Linked DNA regions of Arabidopsis thaliana. The protein of the gene in region 1 interacts with the protein of each later gene in a biochemical or structural test. Each region holds a gene or a part of one and is shown in the gene's direction. Other genes may lie near its edges.

What was found. The genes of interacting proteins can lie anywhere in the genome.
Region 2: the proteins of RIPK (region 1) and RIN4 form a complex in vitro, tested with the Arabidopsis thaliana proteins (one study listed by BioGRID).

What each region holds. Positions count from the first base shown.
Region 1 is NC_003071.7:2,285,004-2,293,170, reverse strand, and holds RIPK (Protein kinase superfamily protein), read left to right. Parts: upstream 1-3,534; 5' UTR 3,535-3,900; coding exon 3,901-4,308; intron 4,309-4,385; coding exon 4,386-4,521; intron 4,522-4,625; coding exon 4,626-4,762; intron 4,763-4,949; coding exon 4,950-5,657; 3' UTR 5,658-5,933; downstream 5,934-8,167.
Region 2 is NC_003074.8:9,128,292-9,135,785, forward strand, and holds RIN4 (RPM1 interacting protein 4), read left to right. Parts: upstream 1-3,846; 5' UTR 3,847-4,166; coding exon of another isoform or gene 4,167-4,172; 5' UTR 4,173-4,599; coding exon 4,600-5,061; intron 5,062-5,139; coding exon 5,140-5,322; intron 5,323-5,426; coding exon 5,427-5,456; 3' UTR 5,457-5,797; downstream 5,798-7,494. Other genes in the region: AT3G25060 (Tetratricopeptide repeat (TPR)-like superfamily protein), read left to right, coding at 225-2,030.

The sequences.
Region 1 (8,167 bases):
TGTAAGAAATTATGTTGGAGCTGATATTGTGCTGGGCAAGTACCAAGACTACTTAATGTGGGTGTCACGACTCTTGCTGTTCTATATAGACTATGAATTGCTTCAGTTCAGCCACATAATTACATAAATAATTAAATCTTTAAACAGAATCATGTTACTAAACCATGATATGTTGGTTTTCTTTCTAACCCCAACATGTAGAAGTGTCTTCGCTATAAATATTTGAATTATGGAAACTTCCTCAGGTCCGGAAGAACTTGAAGACTTGGTGCACTAAAAGCAAAAACAACTTCATTTGAATATTTATACTTTATTAGATATTCAAATGAATTTAAAATGGAACAAATTTCTATAACAATTAACAATTCTTGATAAATTGTTATACAATTGATTACTTGCTATCCAATTGTATCTCTCCAATCACACCATTAAACAAAAATAAAAGACAGGTATCTAACAAAGATAGAAAGTTTGGTCGGAAAGAATATACATATATGATATATTTTATATTAACAAAAGAAAAAAAGAATATACATACATATACTTAACAGAAAAAAAAAAAAGATACATACAAATACTTAACATATTTTTGTCTACTTGTCGTTGTGGATATACGTACGGATGAAGAAAAGGATATTAAAATAGAAATGGTAGCTTCTCTCTTATGATCTAAAAAGATAGACTAAAAAATTAGTGACAATTTACAATAATTGGCGATCAACAAAATAGATTCTAAAAGATAAATCGCTTATTTTCGGAGATTATGTCCAACCAAAAAGAAAACAAAGTATTATTACATGTTTCACAATACGAAGCCAAAAAAACAAAAGGGAGAAAAACCCAAAACTTATACAAAGGAAATCTAAATCAAATGTTTTACAATTAATTCTAAACTCTACTGTAAAACATTTCAACAGTCGGCGGTATCAAAATCATATAGAAGAAAAGTTTAATGTATTATCTTACCAAAGGCCAAAGAGACGATAGAAATCTACGACAACGGAAAACGGTTTAGATTACATTACTGAAGAAGAGTTTTAAAAAAACTACACCTTCATAGAAGTACTAGACGAAAGTATATTGATCGAGATATCAAAAACATCATCCCTCTAAAAAAATCAGACGCAATTATCGAAAATTAATGGTATTTTAGCTGCGATAACATCTACCAAGATTTCTCCCATAACTTTTTTGATCTCTTTGTTTTTAACTTTTTTTTGCCAAAGGATCATATGAATATGTTTAACATATGTTGTAAAACCTAATTTTCATATAAATGATATTTACATGAGTAGAAAAAGTAAAGCTAGGCCAAAGGCTAAGTGTGACTAACACAATTATAGATTATGATAGATCATTGGATGAAAAAAAAAAATAGAGTAAAGCCTTGATGGAAAAAATGAGAAGTGGGACCGAGTAAATGTCAACTCAAACTGAAACAAAGAGAATCTCTCAAAATATTAATTATAGTTGAGAGATGAATAAGTCGCCGTCTTCAGACAACGCGGAGAGATCTTTCTTCACCTTTGTTCTCATTATATTATTTTCTCTTCTAATTATTGATATCTAAAAACGATGTGTTTCTAGAAGATCGACAAATTTGTCTATCTATCTATAATAATATATATATTGCATTTCTACCAAACTCTCTTTCTCATCTTTGTTTTTTGAGGTGTTTGTTGAAATGTAAATTTCTATGATTTTTCATTTGTTTTCTTAGTTTTGACCAAACTATTTTGTTGACTATGTTGTTGCTTGGAGAAGAAGGGAAAGAGAGGAGTGTTAATCTTCTAGAATCGTAATATTTTAAGTTGACTCTTTCTAAATAATATTATCGTTTATCAAATTATTTGTAGATAGGCATGATGACATTAGAATTTTAGTTGTTGATCTATTGTTATATATGTTTAGCTTGTTAGTAGTTCATCCCCATAAACTAAAGATTGCAAACCTTAAACCAAAAAAGTTCACAAAACTCCTGATAATCTCCCAAAGTCTCTATTTGGAAGATAGTCATTGCATAGTTCGAAAAAGTGAGGAGGACTACAACAAAAGATAGTCTCTGCATTCATAGGTTTGAACTATTTCTTTATTAAAAAAAAAAAAAAATAGTTAGAAGACAAAAAGTAAAATATAATGGGAAAAACAAATCTTATAATTCATGGGGTTTCCAGAACTTTAGTTCATAATATTTCTTAGTATCCAAAGTTTGATTTTAGGTACTCCAATTTAAAGAATAAGTGAATAATTTCGTAGATAGTATATGTAATCCAAAAGATACTATCACTAGACCATTGTTCCTTTGGTAAAATTGGAAATAGTTTAAAACAAGAAGAATTTCATAGACAATATGTAATTTTAATAACAGTTTGATAGGAAACAATAATTTTCAATTACTATCCATCTATCCTTTTTAGAATCGAGATACAGTAAACCCTCGATAAACTAATAATATTGGAACCGTGAAATTTTATTAATTTATCGATGTATTAATTTATCAATAAATTAATTATAGATATTTTAGGCTAATTTTGTAATTTTAAATACTTTATGTTTTAAAAAAATACTTATGTATAATTATTATTTTTTTAGAACTAATTACAACTAATAAAAAAATATTATGTATAGAAAACAACAAAAAAGATTTTGAATATAGTAAAAATATTAAAAATGAACTTTAGAAATAATGTAAACTAAAAATATATAGCAGAGTCGTATTTCACCAAAATTTTCATTTATAATATATTAAAAAATTTATACAATTATTAGTTTATCGAGTATTAATTTATAGAGGTTTTATGTATGCTGTATATTTAACGAATACATCTTTTAAATCATATATATGAAAGCACGGGATTATGCGGTTTCATCAACACACTCAAAACTTTTACCTATGAGTAAAAATTAACAAACAATATACAGTGCTTAATAAGAAATATATAGTTTTCATCCTTCATAATACAAACTCTCCTATAAAATAATATTTGTAGAAAAGAATAATAATTTTTAAATATATTAAAAAAAAAAAAAAAATAACAAAATCCGGCGGGTAGCGCGGACACTCACCTAGTAAAGCTTAAAACTTAAAGGATATTCCATGGGAATTAATATGTGATGGTTATTTAATTTGATTCCATCAAATAGTTAACAGAATTTAAGCTGTATATTTAATTTCGTAAATGAAAATATGTTATTATTTTTTTACTGAAATCGTGTGATTATTACCAAAACTAGTAGTCAATTTTGACTGGTACAAACCACCACCCTATCCAGCTTGTAACTACTAAAAATGATGAAAACAAAATAGAAGCACACATACAAAATAGCTTTATTATTGTTTCTTTTAAATTCATACTCAAACTCTCAAATTCGAAGAAAATACTAAACAAAATTATTATTTTATCAGAAACTTCTTTTTGGCGTCATTGCATCAGAATCACATGTTTATGGTCCATTGACGTAAAAAGATAACACGTTAGAGAAAGAGGGCAAAAGCTGTCATCGTCTACAATTTTGGAAGCACCCCACCACTGACTAAAAAATCAACTCGTTAATAATTTTCTTAGAAACTACTATCAACAAAGAATAAAATAAGCATGTGTTATAAAATTAGGGTGATTTATTTCAATGTCAATATAAAGCCACCCCAATAGAATGAGTTTTTCTTTGTGTTAAAGGAGTAGCAATAGTAGTAGTAGTAGGTGAATTTGAATTGAAATTAGTAATCTATAAAGTCTTCTTCTTCTTCTATCTCTCCTCGTGACCATTAAAAACCGAGTTATTATATTTATAACATAAAACTTTATATTATAAAGTCTTCTTCTCATTTTCTTTAAAAACCATTCCATCTCTCATTGCAAACCAAACAAGAAGAAGAAAAGAAACACAAAATCAACAACAATGGCGGTGAAGAAGAAAGTTTCATGGAGATCACTAATCGTTGGATGTTTAGGAGATCCAGAAACCCTAATGGCATCTTCAAAGAAACCTAAAAGAAAAAATGACGTCATCAAGAAACAGAGCTCTTTTCAAAGACTATCGATACTTGATATGAGCAATCCAAGTTCCAACACTTTGTCAGAAGATCTATCGATTTCTTTGGCCGGATCAGATCTTCATGTGTTTACCCTAGCGGAGCTTAAAGTCATTACACAAAGCTTTTCATCGACCAATTTTCTAGGTGAAGGTGGGTTTGGTCCTGTTCATAAGGGTTTCATTGATGATAAGCTACGTCCTGGTCTTAAAGCTCAGCCTGTTGCTGTTAAATTGCTTGATCTTGAAGGTCTTCAAGGTCACCGTGAATGGCTGGTTAGTATCTTTTCTAAAAATATTCCTTTTTTTTTAATTGGTCTTTTTTCTTATATTGGATTTAATCTTCTTTTCAGACGGAAGTTATGTTTTTGGGACAATTGAAGCACAAAAATTTGGTGAAATTGATTGGTTATTGTTGTGAGGAAGAACATAGAACTCTTGTTTATGAGTTCATGCCTCGTGGAAGCTTAGAGAATCAACTTTTCAGAAGTAAGGCTCATTCTCTTTCTCTATGTTTTCTTATTCAGATAAATATATTTTTGGAACTAATCTTATGACAAGTGTTTCTAAGCGACTTTGGATTAATCTTTCAGGATACTCTGCCTCGCTTCCATGGTCAACAAGAATGAAGATCGCTCATGGAGCTGCAACAGGACTTCAATTTCTACACGAAGCTGAAAATCCTGTTATCTATCGGGATTTCAAAGCCTCCAATATCTTGTTAGATTCCGTAAGTAACAAAAAATCCAACCCGATTTTTACTCTTAAAGTCTCTACAGTCAAAGTTTTTACAGTCAAATTTCTTACAGCAAAAGCGTTTACAACCGAAATTAACAGTCGTTACCAATCAGCCCTTATTTTCCAATTTATAATTCCTAAAGTTCTAAAGAAGCTCCTATACCAAATCTTGTTTTCAGGATTACACGGCGAAACTCTCTGACTTCGGGTTAGCCAAAGACGGACCAGAAGGAGACGACACTCATGTGTCAACTCGAGTGATGGGCACACAAGGCTACGCAGCTCCTGAATACATCATGACCGGTCATTTAACAGCAAGAAGTGACGTATACAGCTTTGGAGTTGTGTTGCTAGAGCTTTTGACCGGACGGAGATCAGTAGACAAAAAGAGATCATCGAGGGAACAAAACCTTGTGGACTGGGCTCGTCCAATGCTCAATGACCCACGTAAACTATCTCGAATCATGGACCCGAGACTTGAAGGTCAGTACTCAGAGACAGGAGCAAGAAAAGCAGCAACATTGGCTTACCAATGCTTAAGCCATCGACCCAAGAACCGGCCATGTATGAGTGCCGTCGTCTCTATACTCAATGATCTTAAAGACTATAATGATATTCCTATGGGGACTTTCACTTACACGGTGCCAAACACTCCGGACAATAAAGAAGATGATGGTCGTGTTGGTAATAAGCCACGTAAGAGTAGTCATCATCATCATCATCAACAACAACAAAGTAATCATCCCCGGTCGTCTCCATCTCCGACAACCAAGTCTCCATCTCCCACGGCCAAGTCGCCGAGGAATTCAACGGAAAATCACCGGAGAACGTTGAGAAATGGAGTGAATTCGCCGTTGAGAAGTGAGGCAGGTGGGGAACGGTACTAAGTTTTTCTAGTCACACCAACTCTTAAAATTCATTTTTTTTCCTTTAATCTAATGTAAATAATTCATACGTTTGTCTTTTCGTAATGTAAGAATATATAATTATATTTTTTTTTGTGAAAAATTGAGCTTACTTTGTTTTTTTGTAAGTCTTTTTGTTTTGTTTTGTTTTGTTTTGTTTGATCAAATCAAAAGCAAGAACAAGAAGAGCGGTCCAATATGATATTCTTTTGTTTATGAACATTTCGTCGTCTAACGAAAGACGCGTTATTCACCGTTAGCTTTTGTCCTTCGCATCCTAAATGGAAAATGCTAATTAATAAGTTTTTGATATTATTTTCTTTTATGATTTATGATAATGGACCAATTATATATGCGTTTTTTCAAAATCAAGTAGTGTTAGTCTAGTGGTTTCTACTTGAGGAGGAATTACCTTATTGGTTCAGGTCAGAAATCGATTTCTTTCAACCGCAAAATTGCTAGTTATTTTCATTTGGTCAGGGGCTTTCACTTGGTCTTTCCCGGACTCTGGGAGATTAAGGGCCTCGATCCCGACCCTCCTAATTATCAAAAAAAAATTATATATACATTTTTAATAAAATGTATGATAATGGACCAATTATATATGCGTTTTTAATAATTTGAATAAATTTCTTTTAGGCTAGTAAGACTATATGATGTGCTTGATAACAACATCAATTGCATATATAAATAGCCTCTTTCATTTTCATAATTTATATATAAATGTGGACATATAAGTACGTTATAATAAAATGAAATTAAATGTGGATATATGATTCAATTCAAAGTTTTGTCTTCTCACAACATAGTGGATCAGTCTCATAAAGTATATGTAAATCACGTCTAAAATATATGGACATTTCTTTGGTGGATATTAATTATTCTACAAGTTTGCATTATATTTGAAATATTTATGATCGCGACTGATCAACGTGAAAACCCTAAAACATCAAGGATCAAACAAAGTGGCATGGATATTGCAGTTTCACGACAAAAAGATAAGATAATCACATTAATTTATATCGACACTTTCCAATCACTTTAGTTTTCACAATTTAGCATGCATATACTAATTTGCTAGGAGTGTTGATTACGTATATATATACTATCATAGATGATTAGGGTTAATTTAAGACTTTTGGGAATTGCATCTAGTTGTATATTATTATATAGTCACTTAATTAGAATCATTTGGATACAGCTTGCGCATTTAGTTACTTATAATAGTTTTATATCTAGAATAGGCGTGCATGTGTATATTTATAAATGGACAGACAAATATCTGAGACCAAATCGATCTTCATTGTTGTAAGAGTCAATTGACAGATAAGCTAACGATTGTATAAAGTCTCTTAACTTTCTGCCAATTTACCTACTAATCTCCCACTATCCCCATTTGCTATAATTTAAAATTACTATCATTTTATGACAAGTCTTAGTAATACGGCTAATGTAAGATTATTGACTGTACAATATCTGTTTATAAACATTATTTGTAAAAATTAAGAATACTAAACTGGTATTTCTTGTATTAGGAGTCAATACTATAATAAAATATATTAGTCTTTAAATATATATAAGTTTTGAATATGTCATTAAAATTTATAAGTATTATTTTAATTTATTTATATATCAAATATTATTTCCAAGTTATTTTAACTTACTGTGTTTTAAATAGCTTAGAAATGAAAATGTGTAAGAAAACATGATAGGGTCATCATTTATTTTAACCAATTAAAATCTGACACCTAATAATAATAAAAATAATTTAATTTAATTATAAAATCTAATTTGCCACTAAAACAAAATTGTATATCGGTTTGGGTTTATTAGAAAACGAGGTTAAATATCAGTTTGGGTTTAGAAAGTACGATTAGGGGTTAGATTTTATAATTAAACAGATTAAATATTGGTTTAGGTTTATAAACAGATTTAGATTTTATAATTAAACGAGGTTAAATGTCGGTTTGGGTTTACAAAATACGATTAGGGTTTAGATTTTTTTACGATTAAATGAGTTTAAATGGCGGTTTGGGTTTACAAAGGAAAATTAAAGTTTAGATTTTGTAATTAAACAAGATTATATATCGGTTTGAATTTATAATTATAGTTTTAATTTATTATGTAATTAAGTAGGATTTGATATGGCATATTTTTATTGATCAATACAAAATAAGGTGAATAAAAAGGATTCACCCTAAGAGTAAACCCAAGTTTCGTTCTTATTAAAAGTTTCTTAGTATATAATTTCCATAACTTATATGGGTTATGCCTATAAATAACAAAGTAGTTGGCAGGCCTTTTAATATAATGGGTTTGAACTAGATGATACCATATTCTCTATCCGGCCTCATATCCAAAGTTCTGCAATATGTGTTCTAGATGACGAGAAAAATGTTAAACGGCTATTAGCTATAGACCTATAGTTGATTACGTAATTATAAATATTATTTATATTAATAAAATTAAAATATTTTACAAATATATATTGC
Region 2 (7,494 bases), on another chromosome or scaffold:
AAAAATTACTGCTTACGAGTTACAAGAGAAGAGAGTTAAGTTATAGTGAAAATATAATTGTGTATGCTCAAAATGTTTTTATATGATTGCAGAAGATAAATAAGATATGTTTCTTAACTAGTTAATTTTTCGGTTCTCGTTTAAGTGCCTTACCCGGACGGTAGGTTCCAGTTTGCCAAATCAAATTGGTTTTTGAAGAAGTTAGCTCTAAGAATTAAAACATCATGGTACAGACAAAACATTTCTGCATGTTACATCGGACTCTCCTGTGTCCGAAACGCATCAAATTTCTGCAATCCATTTCTAAACTCAAGCGGCACATCACTCAGATCCACGCTTTTGTAATCAGTACTGGTAATTTACTTAATGGAAGCTCTATTAGTCGAGATCTCATCGCTTCATGTGGACGAATCGGTGAGATCTCTTATGCACGTAAGGTGTTCGACGAATTGCCGCAGAGGGGTGTTTCTGTTTATAATTCCATGATTGTGGTTTATTCTCGTGGAAAAAATCCAGATGAGGTTTTGCGACTTTATGATCAGATGATAGCTGAAAAAATTCAACCAGATAGCTCAACGTTCACTATGACGATCAAAGCGTGCTTAAGTGGTTTGGTTTTAGAGAAAGGAGAGGCTGTGTGGTGTAAAGCAGTGGACTTTGGGTATAAAAATGATGTCTTTGTTTGTTCATCTGTCTTGAATCTGTATATGAAGTGTGGGAAAATGGATGAAGCAGAGGTTTTGTTTGGAAAGATGGCGAAAAGAGATGTTATTTGCTGGACAACAATGGTGACAGGGTTTGCACAGGCTGGTAAGTCGTTGAAGGCTGTTGAGTTTTACAGAGAAATGCAGAATGAAGGGTTTGGTAGGGATAGGGTTGTGATGTTGGGTCTCTTACAAGCTTCTGGTGATCTCGGGGATACGAAAATGGGCCGTTCGGTTCACGGGTATTTGTATAGAACAGGTCTTCCTATGAATGTAGTGGTTGAAACCAGCCTGGTTGATATGTATGCAAAAGTTGGGTTTATAGAGGTTGCTTCTAGGGTGTTTAGTAGGATGATGTTTAAAACCGCAGTTTCGTGGGGGTCGTTGATCTCTGGATTTGCTCAAAATGGATTAGCTAATAAAGCATTTGAAGCTGTTGTGGAAATGCAGAGCCTTGGGTTTCAACCGGATTTAGTGACGCTTGTTGGAGTACTTGTGGCGTGTTCGCAAGTCGGGTCATTAAAGACTGGTAGATTAGTACATTGTTATATTTTGAAAAGGCACGTTCTTGATCGAGTAACCGCAACTGCTTTGATGGACATGTACTCAAAATGTGGCGCTCTTTCAAGTTCAAGAGAAATCTTTGAACATGTAGGAAGGAAAGACTTGGTTTGTTGGAACACAATGATATCTTGTTATGGAATTCATGGAAACGGTCAAGAAGTTGTATCGTTGTTTCTCAAAATGACGGAATCAAACATAGAACCCGACCACGCCACGTTTGCATCACTTCTCTCTGCTCTTAGCCACTCGGGTCTCGTAGAACAAGGCCAACATTGGTTCAGCGTCATGATAAACAAATATAAGATCCAACCGAGTGAAAAGCATTACGTTTGTTTGATTGATCTTCTTGCACGTGCAGGGAGAGTCGAAGAAGCTCTTGATATGATAAACTCTGAGAAACTTGACAATGCTTTACCAATATGGGTTGCTCTTCTTTCAGGATGCATTAATCACAGGAATCTATCAGTCGGGGACATTGCGGCTAATAAGATTCTCCAGTTGAATCCGGATAGTATTGGGATCCAAACACTGGTTTCTAACTTCTTTGCAACTGCCAATAAGTGGAAAGAAGTGGCCAAAGTGAGGAAGTTGATGAGAAATGGGGCCATGGAGAAGGTACCAGGCTACAGCGCGATCGAAGTAAATGGGGAGCTTCGAACTTTTCTCATGGAAGATCTGAGTCACCATGAACATTATCACATGTTGCAAGTGTTGAGGAACTTGAAAACTGAGATAAGAGATGTATGTTCCGGAGTCGAATAGTTCTGTCTCTATGAGCATCCATTCTTATTTCAGTATGTATATATACATCCATTTCTGACTCATGTGGCCCTATTTTGGAGTGAGGTTTTAGTCAAAAACTCTAACAATACATTCCACGCGTTGAACAAGAAAACCAAACCGGGTCAATTTCAATTTTAGTGAGAAGAAAATACCAAGAGGTTCTTGGTCCCTTTGAGAAAAGCAGAGTACCAAAGTGCAAATTCAAGTTAATTGACAAATGTGAAAGAGACTTAAGAATTGAGACTTATTAAAGAGACTAAGAGAGTGATAAACCCCTTAAATAATGTATTGAGAAACCCTTACCTTTGTGGCTTTGTGACACTGGTTTGTATGGTTGTGGCGGACAAATTCGTTTGCGGATTGAACCATTTTATATATTATAGTCCGTAAGAGTATGGATTGAGACAAATAGAAGAAATCCGTCGTGGACCAATTTATATAAAATAAACTTGATTTGGGGTGGATTGTTGTATGTCCCAAAAATAGAGTAACGCTCCAAAACTAAATAACACCAAAAGAATTAAGAATGCACACGATCTCTTAGTTGTCTTTAGTCTTAACTAACCATATCACTTGACTACAAAAAATAAAAAGACACACTCACGTTGAGAAACTGATGAAGCTGAACGATCTGTCTTCTTTGATTTGATCTTTCTTATTTTTTCGTGAACAATCTCTAAAATATTCCCATTAAGGCATTAACCATGTGAAAACACTTGTACGTGTGGACTATATAGTTCACGTGTGTATGAGTACGGGAGCATTGAATAATTATCGCTACGGCAACCACAAATAAATTGATGTGAACAACGCTGAATACTTTCCATTTTTCAACTTTGTCTAGTAAAAAATTACTAAAATAATGTTCCAATTATGGTTTTTAGTGAACATCTTATTGTCATTGGTGATTCGATAATAGATGCTACGAGACATGTTATTTGTTCTTGGAAGAAAGAGGTACGTAAATTCTCAAAAGGGTCTTTCAGTGTAAAGAGGCAGCTTTGACTTTGCTAACACAAAAAGTCTCCATATGATTATTTTCTTTTTCTTTTCAGAAGTTAATATTCTCAATTTCTCATAAACATTTTCAATTCTTTCTTTTGTTATTGGTTGAATAATTTTGTTGAGTTTTATAAATGATGTTTTAATGTGAAAACCAAGAAACAATTGATCATTTAATTAGTTTCTTGATTAGTGTGCTAAAACCTTAAACATCAACTAAGATCAAAAAGAGATTAGGTAGTTGTGGTCAACCACCTTTGATGATAACTTTCTCATTTCTAGTTTTCTAACTATTTTGTTCATACTGCCTTTTTTTTTTCCTTGTACTCGTAGAACACTTTTTATTTACTTACTATCACTTTGTAGTACTCTTCACAAAACACTTTTAAGTTTTCTCTAAAAAAAACTATGAGTGTAAATAATAAAAGTATACGTACTAGCGTTAAATGGCGATATTTGTAAAAATAGTTATTGTACTATTTGTATCACAAAAATTGCAAGTAGTTGATTCAAATGGTAACCTATCTATAGACGAATTGGTACCAATCGTCACCAAAAGAAATTTCAGTTATTACTACTCATTAATCCGCTAAAATCCAAGATCAATAATTCACTAAATTCTGCTATAACATTGTAACATTGTTGCTATCAATAATCAAATTATTCTATTAGCATATAATTATTAGATCCACAAAACTTATCTACTAGAGCAGAAGATTCCACCAAAAGTTGCTTCCGACCCACATATCCAATTCTTTAGGACAAAAATATTTATTACAATCTTTTAAGAGGAAAACAATGTAACATGGACACCAAAATAAAGCCGCCTTTAACGGTGACGGTAACGGTAACGGCGTTTGAGTGCTCTTGACAATACATGAAAATTTAGTAATAGAGTTAAGAAATGAAATTAATAGAGTTTGGAGTGAGACAAAGAGAGAAGAGAAGATTAGAGAGAGGAGAGGAAGGGTCAAAGAATACATAGCATCACCACTAGTCAACGCTTTTATAAAACTTCTTCTTCGTCTCCTCTCCTTCTCACATCTCTCTCTGTCTTTCTCTCTCAAACCTAACAAAAGCTTCAGACTTCAATTCTTTAGCTACCTCTCTCCCATGGCAGTAAGTGTTTTCTTTCCTTCTTTCCTTCTCCTCTTCTTCTTATTTAGGTCTAGAGCTTTCTCTCAGATTATAGTTTTTGTTTCGATTCCGTCAATCTCTGACCCTTTTTTTGGAGGATTTGTAGAAAGTTGAGTCTTAATCTATTTGCATTTATGGTTCTTCCTATTGAGATAACATTTCTATGGATTGCGATGTCTATTAGTATTCAACTTTATGATTCTGATTTGCTTTAGATAAGAAAAGGGTTTTATGAAAGTTACTATTTTTATGGTAAAGTTTCTATTTTTGCTTAGCAAAGATTTCAACTTTATCATTGTACTTGGTCGAAATCGATAAACCCAATTTGTATTTGTTCTGTTTTGGATTCTTAAGTGAATTTGCTATCTTGTTTCTGTGATGATTGTTCTTTAGGATGTTATGTTATTGAATGTTTTGTGGAAGGACATTGTTGTTGAATTGTTTGTTGCAACAGCGTTCGAATGTACCAAAATTTGGAAACTGGGAAGCTGAGGAGAATGTTCCTTACACAGCTTACTTTGACAAAGCTCGTAAGACTCGAGCACCCGGTAGCAAGATCATGAACCCGAATGACCCGGAGTATAACTCTGACTCTCAATCACAAGCTCCTCCTCATCCTCCTTCTTCCAGAACCAAACCTGAGCAAGTTGACACGGTTAGAAGATCACGTGAGCATATGAGAAGCCGAGAAGAGAGCGAGTTGAAACAGTTTGGTGATGCTGGTGGTTCATCAAATGAAGCTGCTAACAAAAGACAAGGAAGAGCTTCTCAGAACAATAGTTATGACAACAAGTCACCTTTGCATAAGAATTCTTATGATGGTACTGGAAAATCTAGGCCTAAACCTACCAACCTTAGAGCTGATGAAAGTGTAAGAATCTCACTTTTAACCTCTAAAGTGAGAATATCTCTGTTTGTTGCTTATGTGTTGTCATCTGTTTATATATAGCCTGAAAAAGTCACAGTGGTGCCTAAATTCGGTGACTGGGACGAGAACAACCCGTCATCAGCTGACGGATACACGCATATCTTCAATAAAGTCCGTGAAGAGAGAAGTTCTGGAGCAAATGTGAGTGGATCTTCAAGAACGCCGACTCATCAAAGCTCCCGTAACCCGAACAACACTTCCTCAGTAAGACATTCTTTAAAACTCATTTTCAAGTATAATCATTAGTGAATACGTATTCAAATAGTGAGTGTGTGTTGAACATTGGTTTGTCTTGTGCAATTTGACAGTGTTGCTGCTTTGGCTTTGGAGGAAAATGAAAGGGACCGGAAGATTGTATATAGTTATCGAGAAATCAGTGTGTAATCTTGATGATTAGACATTCGTGCTTCTTTAGATGAAATAAGGCATAAGTCTCACTTGCATAAGATTTTTATAGTATAATTTTTGTATGTATATTTTGCAATTCTTCCTTAATACTTTTGGTGTTTTCATAAGACACATTCCAGTTTCGGATCTGCTTGCAGATGCATTATATCTTGCTTGGTACGGCCTGAGTGATTTGGTAACTGATTTGATATGAATCAGAGATATTTGGGTACCTCCAAGTTTGTTGTTTCTAATGTTCAAAGCCTTAACTCTGCACCACTATAAAGAAAGACCCATAACTTTTTATATAAAATCAAGATTAAGATCTTTGGAGGATGATGACTCGTATGGTCCATATGATATGGACATCAAAGAAGAACGAATTGACACTTGTTTCCTATATGGCTTTGTACAGTGTAATCAGGTTTGATTCTCCAGCTTTATGTACTTACTATTTCAGCATTCTCTATGCCCAATAATTAGACTTAAATGCAATCTTTTTAAACCCGACCTGGATGGTGAACTAGACTACTTTTTAGGTCACGGGGTCAATGGATCAACCGGATTCGACCACGGATCAATTGATTAAAATTTATTTAATATTATAGAAATTATTAGTTTGTATAAATATAAATATAAAAATAATTATACCATGGTCTAACAATAATAATAAAGTAATTAAATATTTAAATCTAACTAAAAGTCTAAAATAGTAACATATACTAAAATAGTAGGAGTAATGACGAAAATAAAATAATAAAACATCGCGAATTCAAAACAACTAATCTCGGTTGTCTCTATCACCATTCCATTCGTTTTTTTAGGCGGTATTGTGAGATTTTTGTCAAAATCTAAAATATCTTCTAAGTCTTAAGAATTAAAAAAAAAAATCTAAAAATAACCGAATAAAGTCTAAACTCTTATATTTTATTCCAGAATCAAATGAATTTTTAAACCACCATTCTTCAAGCTTTGGTTGATACTTGGTTAGCTTGAAAAACGGTTTAGTGATTTGGAACATGCGAAGAAAGCTTATGATTCTAGTTTGAAACATTAATCTCGTTGCATACCACTCAGAATCTCGCTTGATGATTTTGAAGAGAAGGTGAATGGGCTGAATCCTAATTCATATTTGATATGATCCTAATATGATTGTAATGACTACCTGGTTTTGTTACAATATACGAAAGACCCATTAGATAAGTATATAGTAGATGTAGAAAACATAATAAGATTGAATTTTTGGAGGTTTGATTCGAAACCAAATGAGCCATTTAATATGTTGGACATATGTGTCCAATGATTTGATTAGTTCAGCTAGAGTATTACATGGATTGGACAGTGAGTTTGTTCCACTTTCTCCGATGTATTTGTGGCGCAGTGTTCGTCGAGAATTAACTACATTAAATGACTGCAAAGCTAAGAATGAAAAGTTGTTGGAAGATAAGAATGCAAAACTATGGAAGCTATGAATGGTGTACATTGTTGCTTTGGACAAAACATAGTTAACGGATTGATGTATGCAAAACTACATGGGGGTACCAGCATTCTACTCGAGATGCGGAATTGTATAAAATTACTATTGACTTTACAATAACCTATGAGGCAAAGGTGGTAATTTGCAAAAATGGTAACAAATTGAAATTTGGTAATGGTGGATACATTGATGTCAATCTTGAAATAAAGCTAACTCTAGTTGGTCAAAAAAATAAACGTAAGGCAAAATTGTGTTGTTATAGAATATTTCTTAATCGGTAATCAAAACTTGTGAGGTTGTAATATTTTGCAGGAGATGAGAGGAAAAAAATGGCTAATTAGATTTTGATTATCTTTTGGATTCTTAGTACTCAAAACTTTTTCCTTAGTAATAATGGCGAACACATTTTGCACTTTGTAATTTGAGACTAATCTCATAAAATCATTACGGTTCATGCTAATTATACACATAGAAAGAGTAAAGCAATGCTATTATGATGCATCGAAACGGGT